2 linked regions of the Callithrix jacchus genome follow. The protein of the gene in region 1 binds, or shares a complex with, the protein of each later gene. Links are inferred from orthologs where the notes say so. Each region holds a gene or a part of one and is shown on either strand. Other genes may lie near its edges.

What was found.
Region 2: DRC10 (region 1) and DRC8 share a complex: the UniProt entries of both Homo sapiens proteins name them as parts of the nexin-dynein regulatory complex. The link is inferred for Callithrix jacchus from reciprocal best matches to the Homo sapiens genes DRC10 and DRC8.

Annotation. Positions count from the first base shown.
Region 1 is NC_133510.1:116,174,707-116,180,618, reverse strand, and holds part of DRC10 (dynein regulatory complex protein 10), read left to right. Parts: intron 1-911; 5' UTR 912-1,004; coding exon 1,005-1,733; intron 1,734-5,796; coding exon 5,797-5,912. UniProt on the Homo sapiens protein: Component of the nexin-dynein regulatory complex (N-DRC), a key regulator of ciliary/flagellar motility which maintains the alignment and integrity of the distal axoneme and regulates microtubule sliding in motile axonemes.
Region 2 is NC_133520.1:41,145,909-41,151,820, forward strand, and holds part of DRC8 (dynein regulatory complex protein 8), read right to left. Parts: exon of another isoform or gene 4,208-5,912; coding exon 4,128-4,207; exon of another isoform or gene 2,921-4,127; coding exon 2,878-2,920; exon of another isoform or gene 2,732-2,877; coding exon 2,665-2,731; exon of another isoform or gene 1-2,664. UniProt on the Homo sapiens protein: Component of the nexin-dynein regulatory complex (N-DRC), a key regulator of ciliary/flagellar motility which maintains the alignment and integrity of the distal axoneme and regulates microtubule sliding in motile axonemes.

The sequences.
Region 1 (5,912 bases):
AGGTCAGGTGTTTGACCTCGCCAGCCTCGCCAGTGTGGCAAAACCCTGTCTCTACTAAAAATACAAAAATTAGTTGGGTGTGTTGGCACATGCCTGTAGTCCCAGTTGCTCAGGAGGCTGAGGCAGGAGAATCACTTGAACCCGGGAGGCGGAGGTTGCAGTGAGCCGAGACGCCACTGCACTCCAGCCTGGGTGACAGAGCAAGACTCTGTCTCAAAAACAACAACAACAACAACAACAACTTCAAAATCGGTGAAAATGTGCCGGTCCTAGTCCTATTAATCTTACACTGATTTTTGCCCTGTCCCTACCCTGTCCCTGTCCTGCTCATAGGCTGCTGCCTGCGGTGCCATCGCCCAGGATCCCTCGTCAGTTTCCTGCTGGTTCTGGCCGAGGGCAGGAGAAAGAGAGGAGCCAGGGTATTTCTCCTCTCCCACAGCCCCCCTCTTTGACCTGCATTTCCGGCAATGTCTCTTGCTCCTCTGGGAACAACTGATGGCTGTGGCTCAAGCATCCCCTGCGTGACTCTGGGCCCCAGGCTCACCACCTATTCATGTGGTGGCTTCCCGCCATTGACAATTGCGGGATGGCTTTATCTTCCCCTGGTTGACCTCTCAATTCTCCCATCACTGACATAACCAGTCTCTGGTTTTAAATCTTTTGAATGGCATCTATCATCCTGGTGGTCTCTGCCTGGCACAGGTGCCTGAGGCACCTCCACGCTTGGTCTTCTGCCCTTGTGGCCCTAACACCCTCACAAAGCCGAAAGCTGTTTTCAGTGAAAGGTTCTGTGTAAAAGTGACAGAGGACCTAAGATGAACTTTTGATGTCAACAGCTGTGGTTTCTGCAGCCACGCTAACCACACAGATGTCAGCACAGCTCCACTAACACCTACGTCTTCCTTTTGCAGGATGGCCAGAGACAATAAAAGCACAAGACCCAAATAGTCTACCGAAGTCTCCATCTCTGAGGACGTACAGAGGGACAGAGGGCTGCTCACGAGATGGCTTTAGACATTCTCGCCATAGCGCCTTTGTACCAGGTCCCCACCATCAACAGAATAGGGCCAAAGACAGACCCATCTAAAAGGCCAGCCGACTCACTAAAACCCTTGGTCCCCTCTAAGACCAAACTTACCACCATTGAGGCCAAAAGGATCATGTCCGTCCTGGATGAGGCGATCTACAAGGTGGAGCTGGTGACCCTGCTGTCGTATGTGGCATCCAATCGAGGGGATGTGGAGGGGATGCTGGGGGAGAACATCATGAGGGCAGTGAGGGAGCATGAGGACCTCTGCCAGATCCTCCTGGAAAACGTCAGGTGCCTAAAGGAAAAAGAAAGGCAGCTGCAGGAGCAGGATGAGGCTAAGGAGGAAGGGTGGCTCAGAGACCGCCGCCTGTCCATAGAGCTGCAGAAATCCAGCCTCCCTCCACTTAGGCAGCAGATCAAAGACTCCACCAAGAATGTCCTGAGACTCTTGCTCAGCAACCCTCAAGCTGCCAGTTTCCTGCAGATGCAGACGCAGGGCAGAAGTGCAGAAGCCCAGTGTTTGATTGACAGCCTGAATGAGCTCCGTGGTTTCCTGTTTGAAAAACTCCTCACTAGTCCCATGGAAGCGAGGGACAAAGCCCAGTTCATACAGGATATCAGTAAACAGAATAGTATGAACCAACAAATCCTTGATACTCTTGAAAATGAATTGGCGGAGAGGATGAAGGACAGACATGCAGAGGTACTGTTTCACAGTACTGCTGAAACCGCAGAAGCCACACTCACTGGCCCAAATCTTTTTTTTTTTTTTTTTTTTTTTTTTGAAATGGAGTCTCTCCCTGTCATCCAGGCTGGAGTGCAGTGGTGTGATCTCGGACTCATTTTTGATACTAATTTTTGTACTTTTAGTAGAGACAGAATTTTATCATGTTGGCCAGGCTGGTCTTGAACTCCTGGTCACAAGTGATCCTCCTGCCACGGCCTTCCAAAGTGCTGGAATTACAGGCGTGAGCCACCGCACCTGGCCCCAACTTTTTCTACTAAGGGTCAGATAGTAAATACATTAGGCTTTGTGGGCCAGATGGTCTTTGTTGCAATTACTTAACTCAGCTCTGCTGTTATGGGGGAGAGTAGCCATATGTAAATGAATGGACTGTGTAAGAACAAAACTTTCCCTAACAAATGCAAGTTTGGATTCGGCCTGTGGGCCATAGTTTGTCAACCTGTGTTCCAGGTGGAGGGTAGAGGGTACCTCAGTCATGAGATAGGAATAAGCCTGGCTAGTTCAGAAACCCAGAGAATGCCAGTGAGCTAGAGGGAAGGGCCAAGATAGGCTGGGAAAGCAGGGGAAGGAGACAGATCACATGGGGCCTTTGAGGCCTAATCAAGGAATTTGGTCTTTTGAAGTTTTTAGTTTTAGAGACAAGATCTCGCTCTATCACCCAGGCTGGAGTACAGTGGCACGATCATAGCTCACTGCAGCCTTGACCTCCTGGGTGATTCTCCTGCCTTAACTTCTTGTGTAGCTGAAACTACAGGCATGCACCACATTGCCTGGCTAATTTTTAAAATTTTTGTAGAGATGGTGTCTCACTATGTTGCCCAGGCTGGTCTCGAACTCCTGGGGCTCAAGAAATCCCCCTTCCTCAGCCTCCCAAGTAGCTATGACTACAGGCACATGCCACCATGCCTGCCTAATTAAGTTTTTTTTTATAAATGGGGTCACTGGCCAGATTTGGTGTCTCACACCTATGATACCAGCACTTTGGGAGGCCAAGGCGAATGGATCACTTGAGGTCGGGAGTTCGAGACCAGCCTTGCCAACATGGCGAAACCCCATCTCTACTAAAAAAAATACAAAAAAATAGCTGGGCATAATGGCTCATGCCTATAATCCCAGCACTTTGGGAGGCAGGTGGATCACCTAAGGTCAGGAGTTCAAGACCAGCCTGATCAACATGGTGAAACCCCGTCTCTACTAAAAATACAAAATTAGCCAGGCATGGTGGCAGGCTCCTCTAATCCTAGCTATTCAGGAGGCTGAGGCAGGAGAATCGCTTGAACCCAAGAAGTGGAGGTTCAAGTGAGCCAAGATTGTGCCATTGTGCTCCAGTCTGTGCAACAGAGTGAGACTCTGTCTAAAATAAATAAATACATAAATAAATAAAAGAAAAGAAATACAAAAAAGAAATGGGGTCTCACTCTGTTACTCAGGCTGGTCTCAAACTCCTAGCTTAGAGACCCTCCAGCTTCAGCCTCCTGAGTAGCTAGGATTATAGGCATACCACCATACCAGCTAGAATCATTTTTTTTAAGAAGGGAAATGTGGGCATGGTGGCTCATGCCTGTAATCCCAACACTTTGGGTAGCCAAGGCAGGAGGATCACTTGAACTTAGGAGTTTGAGACCGGCCTGGGTAACATAGTGAAGCCCCATCTCTACATACAAGACAAAATTAACTGGGCGTGGTGGTATACACCTGTAGTGCCAGCTACTCAGGAGGCTGAGGTGGGAGGGATCACTTGAACCCAGAAGGTAGAGGTTGGAGGTGACAGGGAGCTGAGATCGCACCACTGTACTCCAGCCTGGGCTACAAAGAAATACCCTATCTCAAAAAAGAAAAAAAGGGGAATGGTAGCATGATCCTAAACCTAATAATAATCATATTGGACACATACAGTGTATTTGTTTTACATACATTTTCTCTCTAAATCTTTACAAAAACCCTGTGACATGATGTATAAGTACAGATTTGGCTGCTATGACAGAGACACCCAACATAGCTGTGGCTTAGTAAGACAACCATGTATTTCTCTGTAGTAGAAACACCAGAGCTGGTGTGGCATCTCTGCTTCCCAAGTTGTCAGGGGGTCTGGCTTCTTTGATACGACTTCTCTACTGATCCCCACATGGGACTTCTGCCTGTGGGTCAAGATGGCTGCTCCAGTTTTCCCCATCATGTGGCCCCCGGTCCAGCCAGCAGGAAGGAGGAAAGGGGAGGAGAGGGCTTGGTTCCACCCCTTAAGGACACATGCAGAGGTCCCCCCACAGAACTTCTATGCACATCTTGTAGCCACACCCAGCAGAGAGAGGTGCTAGGAAGGACTGACCGCCTGTCACCCTGTTCTACTACACATTCTAGCCCACAGCCTCTCTGGGGAGGGCAGACGTGGGGGCTAGCCAGGCTGCACTGCCGCAGCACTTCTCTTTCTCTCCCCCACCACTGACAAGAGGTTCAAGGCACTGGCAAGCTATTCACTGCCCTCCCTTCCCCAGGGAGGGAGGTGGGGCACTTCTCACTGAATTTGTCCTTTAAAGCAATCAGCCGACTATGAGGATGACATACCTTTGTGTGCTTTGTGTGGCCTTGAGAGGTCTGTCTCCTCCACAAGAAAAGAGGGGCCTTGTCTCTCTCAGCCTGCCACTGTGTCCCCAGTGAGCCTGTCCAAAAGAAGTACATGATGTATACTTGCTGAGTGGACAGGTGATGGGCTTCTGGGCCCTTGCACAGGGAGGTCACTGGTAAGGTGGGAAGAACATCCTCTAGGCATAGGCAAAGGGACACAGGTGGCCCTGCTGGTCTCATTCAGGTGCTAGAATTCGAAGGGGCTTCACCTTGGGCTAACTTGGGGTCAGATGCCATTTTTGCCAGGTGAGCAAATTTCATGTCATTGAACCTCAGTGTACAATGAAGGGGAGACACCAATCAGGGACGTGGTGGGGAGTCTACCAGGAGAGCTGTGACTGCTGAGCATACTCCCGCACCTGCTGCCTAGAGCCTTCATGCAGGACAGGCTTGCCTCAAAGACGCTGCCTCCCTGCCCCCAGTGTGCAGGAAGTGAACAGGTGCCCAGCAGGCCTGCTGCAGGCTGACCCAAGCCCAGGACTGTGGTGTGAGCAGCGATAGCACCACTGTGCTCAGATGGAGACTCCAGTGTTTGTGAGAAGCCTTGAGAACTTCTTTACAAAACTGTCCCATCCTCCACCCCATTCCTGTTCTAGAATCCACCCAAGGCAGGGAACAAGCCAGGTATGGGCCCTTGAGAGACAGCCTGGTGGCAATCCCTTCAGTCAGTGTTTGTCATACACATTCATGCATCCCACCAAGTGTCTCTGCCAGCCAGGCCTCCCCTGCCATGTCCTCAGGAGAAGCATCACTGCCGTCCCAGTCCTCCCCTGTGGACTCAATCCAACAAGCTTGTACTCTTCACTAGTGCAACGAAATAGAAAGTGGTGGCTCCAGGTCAGACAAACCTGGCTTCAGACCCCAGCTCAGCTGGGCAACCACAGACAGATGAAGCCACCTCCTGGAGCCTCAGTTTTTTTGTCTGTAATCAAGCTATCCCTGACCTCCATTGTGGGGTTGGGGTTATGATTAGAGAGACTGAGAGAGATAATAACACATGTGGCATGCCTGGCTCCAAGGGAGGGTGCAGTGGTGTCAGCCTCTGGTGACTGGCAGTGGGCATGGAGGTGTTTTTTTCTGAGATGGAGTCTCACTCTGTCACCCAGGGTGGAGTGCAGTGGTGTGATCTCCACTCCCTGCAACCTCCACTTCCCATGTTCAAGCTATTCTGTCAACCTCCGGAGTAGCTGGGCTTACAGGCACTCACCACCATGCCCAGCTAATTTTTGTATTTTTAGTAGAGACAGGATTTCATCATGTTGGCCAGGCTGGTTTCAAACTCCTGACCTCAGGTGATCCACCCACCTCAGCCTCCCAAAGTGTTGGGATTACAGGCATGAGCCACTGTGCCCGGCTGGGCATGGGGGTATTAACGGAGCCCTTTCTCTTCCTGGCTCAGATGGAAAAGGAGAACTTTGTGATCCAAGAACTGAAAAACCACCTGCACCAGGTGCTCAAGTTCTCAGAGAACAGCCTCCTTCGCACTAAGCAGGAGGCCAAGAAGCAGCAGAGGGC
Region 2 (5,912 bases), on another chromosome or scaffold:
AACAATTTGTAGAATTCTGAGAATCTCAAAGCAACAATTCTTAAGCCACTATTTACCAAACTAGTCAACTGCTATTACACTTAGCTGATGGGTCTGTGATATGAAATCATAACTTAGATTTGTACAGTATTTACATCTTACGCATTACTTCCAAACGTACTGGCTCATCTATGCGGAAGGTTTGTAACAACACTTGTTGAATGAATCGTTGAAATCATACATGTTCTTATTTGAAAATACCTGTCCTATGCTTGGTCCCCTGAGAGACCCAGTAGTCGATCTTTGAGTACCATGAACTCCCTGTAAACATACCATCTTGGCAATTATCACACAGCTCCCCAGGGCAAAGCACACGAGCGCACCGCCTCTGTACACACTGCAGTCTGTTCTGACTTTGCTGTTTCCGTCAGCAGCATTACCATGACACTTGCGCTCGAGGGCAAAGCCTTGGTGTTACTTGTGACTCAGCTCTCATGTTTGTCCCCTACGCTCTGTCATCATGACCCACGGATTCTGCCGCAGACAGTCCTGTATCAATCCCTTCTTTCCATTCCCATTGCCGTTGCCAGGTTAGGCCCTTATTTGGGTGCCTTCAGGATGCTGAAATAAGCTTCTAACTGGTCTCCCTGGTCCAACCTCTTTCTCATGAATCTAACAAACCGACCAGCACCAGAAAAACCTTCTCACGATCACTCACACACCTTGTGACTCATCTGCTCAAAAGCCTGTAGGACTTCTCCATTGCCCACAGGATGAATTCCAAACTCCTGATCCTGGGACTCTACAGTTTAGTCCCAGTCAATCTACTGAAGTTAATTTCCCGCTGTTTGCCAGAGCCACCCTCGGGGCCAGCTAGGCTTATTTTCTCTCTGAAATAGCATGTTCATTCCTACCTCTCCATTTTTGTTCAGACTGTTTTACACACCTAGGTCTCCCTCTCGTGAGCCCTTCGCCTAGTCTTCACCGTCTACTCATCCATTCGTTAATTCGGCAAACATTTGTTGAGATCTACTGTATGTGAGAGAATTATAATGCACAAGAGTTTACCTCTGCCCTCGACAACTTAACCATATACATTCTACCGTCTCAAAAAACCTATTTTCTCTTTAAGTCTTCCCAGACTAAGCTTTTCAGGCGGGTCCGGCCCTGGTTGATCTTCATACATTTATTTTTCTATCGTCTTCTGCTGTCTCTATTTTATGTTACTGTTATTTCCCCAGTAAGATTGTAATATCCTTGCAAGAGGGAGCAGATTTCACTGTCCTTATACCTTACTGCACTTACTGAATGCTAAACACGTAGTAGGCACACGACAGTAGGAACATCGCACTGTTTTGGGTCATTTTGACTAACTTCATGTTGTCCAATATTTAACCCAGGATTTACTTTCTTTACACTAATCCTTAGGATTAAGAAGCTGATGCTAAAAAAAAAAAAAAAAAAAAAAAAAAAAAGAAGCTGATGCTTTGAAAGTCCTAACATCCCCATCAAAATTAATCCCTAAGATCATTTTGACCATGGCATGAGAGTTCCTGGGTGGCAGCTATGATGGCGGTGTCATTCTTACTCCCACTCCCTGTATTCCCCCTAATGGATCACGCTGGAATGGTCAAGCCAGTTGTGCACGTAGATGCAGTCTTAGCTTTCCCTGCTCCAGATTACTTGCACTTTTGATTCTGTCTCAAGTGATTAGCAACTCTGAGTCATTCAGAACTCAATCTGTGAACCAGAGAGCTCTAGCTCTGTACAGGAGAAGGCAAGGTCACCAGTATGAGGATGGTTTCAGGAGACGACCTTCAGGGAAAACAAATGTACACATCAGCCTAGCAGAGGGAATTCCCAAGGAAATATGTTGGCATATGTAAGTGTGCAGGTATTATGTGTGTATATGCATATGTATGAAGGGCCATGTTCAAAGCATATATATATGGTTCCATTAACATTAAAAGAGGAAATGTTTAGTGTTAAAAATGACCTCATATTAAATTTAGGCTATATTATCTATAACTTCACCAACAGAAAAGCTTTTTAAAAAGGAATTTTTAAATTCCTTCAGCACTGTGGGAGGCCAAGATGGGTGGATCACCTCAGGTCAGGAGTTTGAGACCAGCCCGGCCATCTCTACTAAAAATACAAAAATTAGCTGGGCATGGTGGCCCACGCCTGTAATCCCAGCTACTTGAGAGGCTGAGGGAGGAGAATCACTTGAACCCAGGAAGCAGAGGTTGCAGTGAGCTGAGACTGCACTCCAGCCTGGGTGACAGAGCAAGACTCTGTCTCAAAAAAAACAAAAAAGAAAGAAATTTGTAGAGACTCCTATTCAGATCTTCAATCTGGGAAGAGGCCTTCATTTACAGTGATTGATAGTTCATGTTTTCCAGATGGCATATCTTTTATTCTGAAAATTCCATTCAGAATGACTGCAATTACAGAAGTAATCACTATACTTTACAAAATCCTCTAAGACAACAACACAGCTCCCCTTATCCTACTCTTCTTAACCCCCACAGAACAGAAACCATCCCCAAACCAAAACAGTAGGAACAGTAAATAACTTTCCACCAGAATGACTGATTCTAACGTCTCCCCATAACTTTACATGACTGCTGACAAATCATGAATTCCTCACGTAGGTCACTGTTGCAAGCACTAAATCACGCTTACCTTCTTCAGTCATGTACTTGATCAATTCGTCCTTAGTAAGAAATCCACGGTTAGCTGTATCTAAAACCTAGGGGAAAAGAAAAGATAGATATTCTATTTTTTCATTTGGTAAGTTCTACATGATGAATTTTTCACATAAATGAGCATACACGTGTGTATATAAATGTCTGTATTTATATACATGTATATGTATATAAGCTGGAGTGTACATACCTCAAAGGCTCGAAGAAGGACATCTTCTGGAATGGGTCTGTATCTATAATTATGCAATAGGTTGAGTCAGTGCCATAGTATTCACCATCGTCTCTGCGTAATAAAGCAGCAGTCTCCAACCTTTCTGGCAGTGGCGACTGGTTTCATGGAAGGAAATTTTTCCACAGACCGGGGTTGGGGGGATGGTTTGGGGATGAAACAGTTCCACCCCAGATCATCAGGCATTAGATGCTCATAAGGAGCACAACCTAGATCCCTCCCACGCGCAGTTCACAATGGGGTTTGTGCTCCGATGAGACTCTGGCACCAGCGCTGCTCTGACAGGTGGCAGCACTCACTCTCTTGCTGGTCACCTCCTCCAGTGCAGCCCAGGGGTCCCAACAGGCCAGGGACTAGTACCAGTCCATGGCCTGGTAGTTGGGGACCACTGGAATGAATAAATGACCACATAAAACAAACCAGGGCCGGGCGTGGTGGCTCACGCCTGTAATCCCAGCACTCTGGGAGGCTGAGGCAGGTGGATCACCTGAGCTCAGCAGTTCAAGACCAGCCTAGCCAACACAGTGAAACCCTGTCCCTACTAAAAATACAAAGATTATCTGGGCATGGTGGTGGGCACCTGGAATCCCAGCTACTCGGGAAGCTGAGGCGGGAGAATGGCTTGAACCTGGGAGGCAGAGGTTGCAGTGAGCTGAGATGGCGCCATGGCACTCCAGCCCAAAAAATAAAAATGAAGAAGTAAAAGCTGCTAACATACTGGGATGGTAATGCTTGCCTCGCTGAAATCTTGTTGGATTTCTGGATGTGAAAGTGGAGAACACCTCAGCCCCACAGGAAGTATTTAGTGCAAAATCACTGACATGTTTGCGGTTATCTATTAGCTTTTCAGAAATCAATTTCGGTGGGCACAAGACTTCCATGATGAACCAACTCTGGCAAGCTAATGCTATATTTGTGCTAGAAATATTAGGATTCTTTTTTATCATTGATAATTCAAAACAGAAGATAAGAATGTTGACTTATGATCTTTGTAGCTTATTTGCCCCCAATTATGCTTTGCTAAGGTTAACACGAATGTGTTTGATATTTCTAAGCATGTACCAACTGGCAGTTCAGAAGTATCTAGAAAGGTTAGAAGGAGGCCACCTTAGGAGACGCTGGTTGAACATAACATACGAAGGGAAAGAGCCAAGCGTCCTGAATGAATTCTGATCGTTGCGTTGCCTTAACAATTGCATTTACTTACTTACCTTCTTTCTAGTAGTATTTCTGTCATCACCGGAAGAAATTTTTCAAATCGAATGTATCCAGTGGGTTCTTCTTCCTCTATCTAAACATTCAATAAGTAAATAGCCATTTATCCATCCAACAAATATATTTTATTAAGATTTCTCTTTATCATTCATCTTGAACCTGTACAGTTGACACTCTGATAAGGGAGACATGCATTAATCAAGACACAGCAACAGGAAGACAGTGTGCTTGTAAATCCATGTAAGCACAGTGAAGGGAAGGAGCACGGGTCTGTAGGAACAGTCAATAGAGAACCCTCGGCCAGGCGCAGTGGCGCACACCTGTAATCCCAGCACTTTGGGAGGCCAAGACACGCGGATCACTTGAGGTCAGGAGTTCAAGACCAGCCTGACCAACATGGTGAACCCCCCATCTCTACTAAAAATACAAAAATTAGCTGGGCATAGTGGCACACACCTGTAGGCCCAGCTACACAGGAGGCTGAGGCAGGAGAATCGCTGAACCTGGGAGATGGGGTTGCAGTGAGCCGAGATCGTACCACTGCACTGCAGCCTGGGCGACAGAGTGAGACTCCATGTCAAAATAAATAAATAGAGCACCTCTTAGACCGGGAGGCCAGGGAAGTCATTCACGAGGAAATAACACTCCAGCTGATTTAGAAAGGATGAGTAGAAGGTAATGAGACGAAGACGGGAGGGAGAGACTCTCACAAAGAGGAAACTGCACGCACTGAGACTCTGCTGACACACTGGAGGCTAGGAGGCTGGAGTACAAGGAGCAACGAGAAGGCTTCAAGACGAGGCTAGGGAGAGGCAGGGCAGACTGCAGGGCCTCCTTGCCCGTGACAGTGATAAGGCTGCTGGCCCAAAAACAGTGGGAAATCACCGACGGTCTCGCTGATGCATGTTTTGAAAGAGCACACTGGTTGAGGGTGAGGCAGCTTTTTCAGTAGTCTAAGCAGGTATGACAAGGGCTTAGACTGGAGTGGTGGCTATGGAGAGAGAAATGGATGGCTTCAAGAAATATTTAAGAAGCGGAATTGATAGGACCTGGTCTTGCATTCATTATGAGTAACGATGGAAGAAAACAGAGGATTCAAGGATGACTCCCAGGATGCTGACTGACACCACTGAGATAAGGTGATGCTTTTCCCTGAGACAAGAAACCCTGAATGAGGGACCAGGTTAGAGCACACGCCGCCATCGCAAGGACCAACTACATCTTAAATCATCATAATATGTATTAAGCACCTCCATGGTAGACAGAGCTTGGTCATACCGCCCCTAGATTAGAAGACTACACCTAAGAGGATGATTGGGACTTGGCACTATTAAATGAGAACGAAACAGATCCCTGCCTGTGGGTTCGGCTTGGATGCAGCAGCTGAACATAACACCACTGACCTTAACTTTCCTGTCAGGCTGTCTATAGCGAGCTGTAAATTTTCCATTCCCTTTCAAAAATCTCATTAAAAGGCTCATAGATCCCAATTCAGCAGATGAGTTTTGGACAGATTTATTCTTGGAGCAAAAACGAAGAAAACACCTACAGGTTGCTGCTAAGTGTGACACAACGTCATCCAAATGACTAGTGTTTTTAACACTTACACCAGATTCACACCTAGCGTGGTGGAACCTCCGACTCCACCATCAGCAGAAAATTCAACGCATTCAATGACAGAATTGTGTGTTTCAGAACTGCTGAGCCCGCCGATTCATGAACAGTTGTCTTCAGCTGCTTCTAGGTTGAAGGTGAGCATTGCAAGTTAATGTTCACGTGGC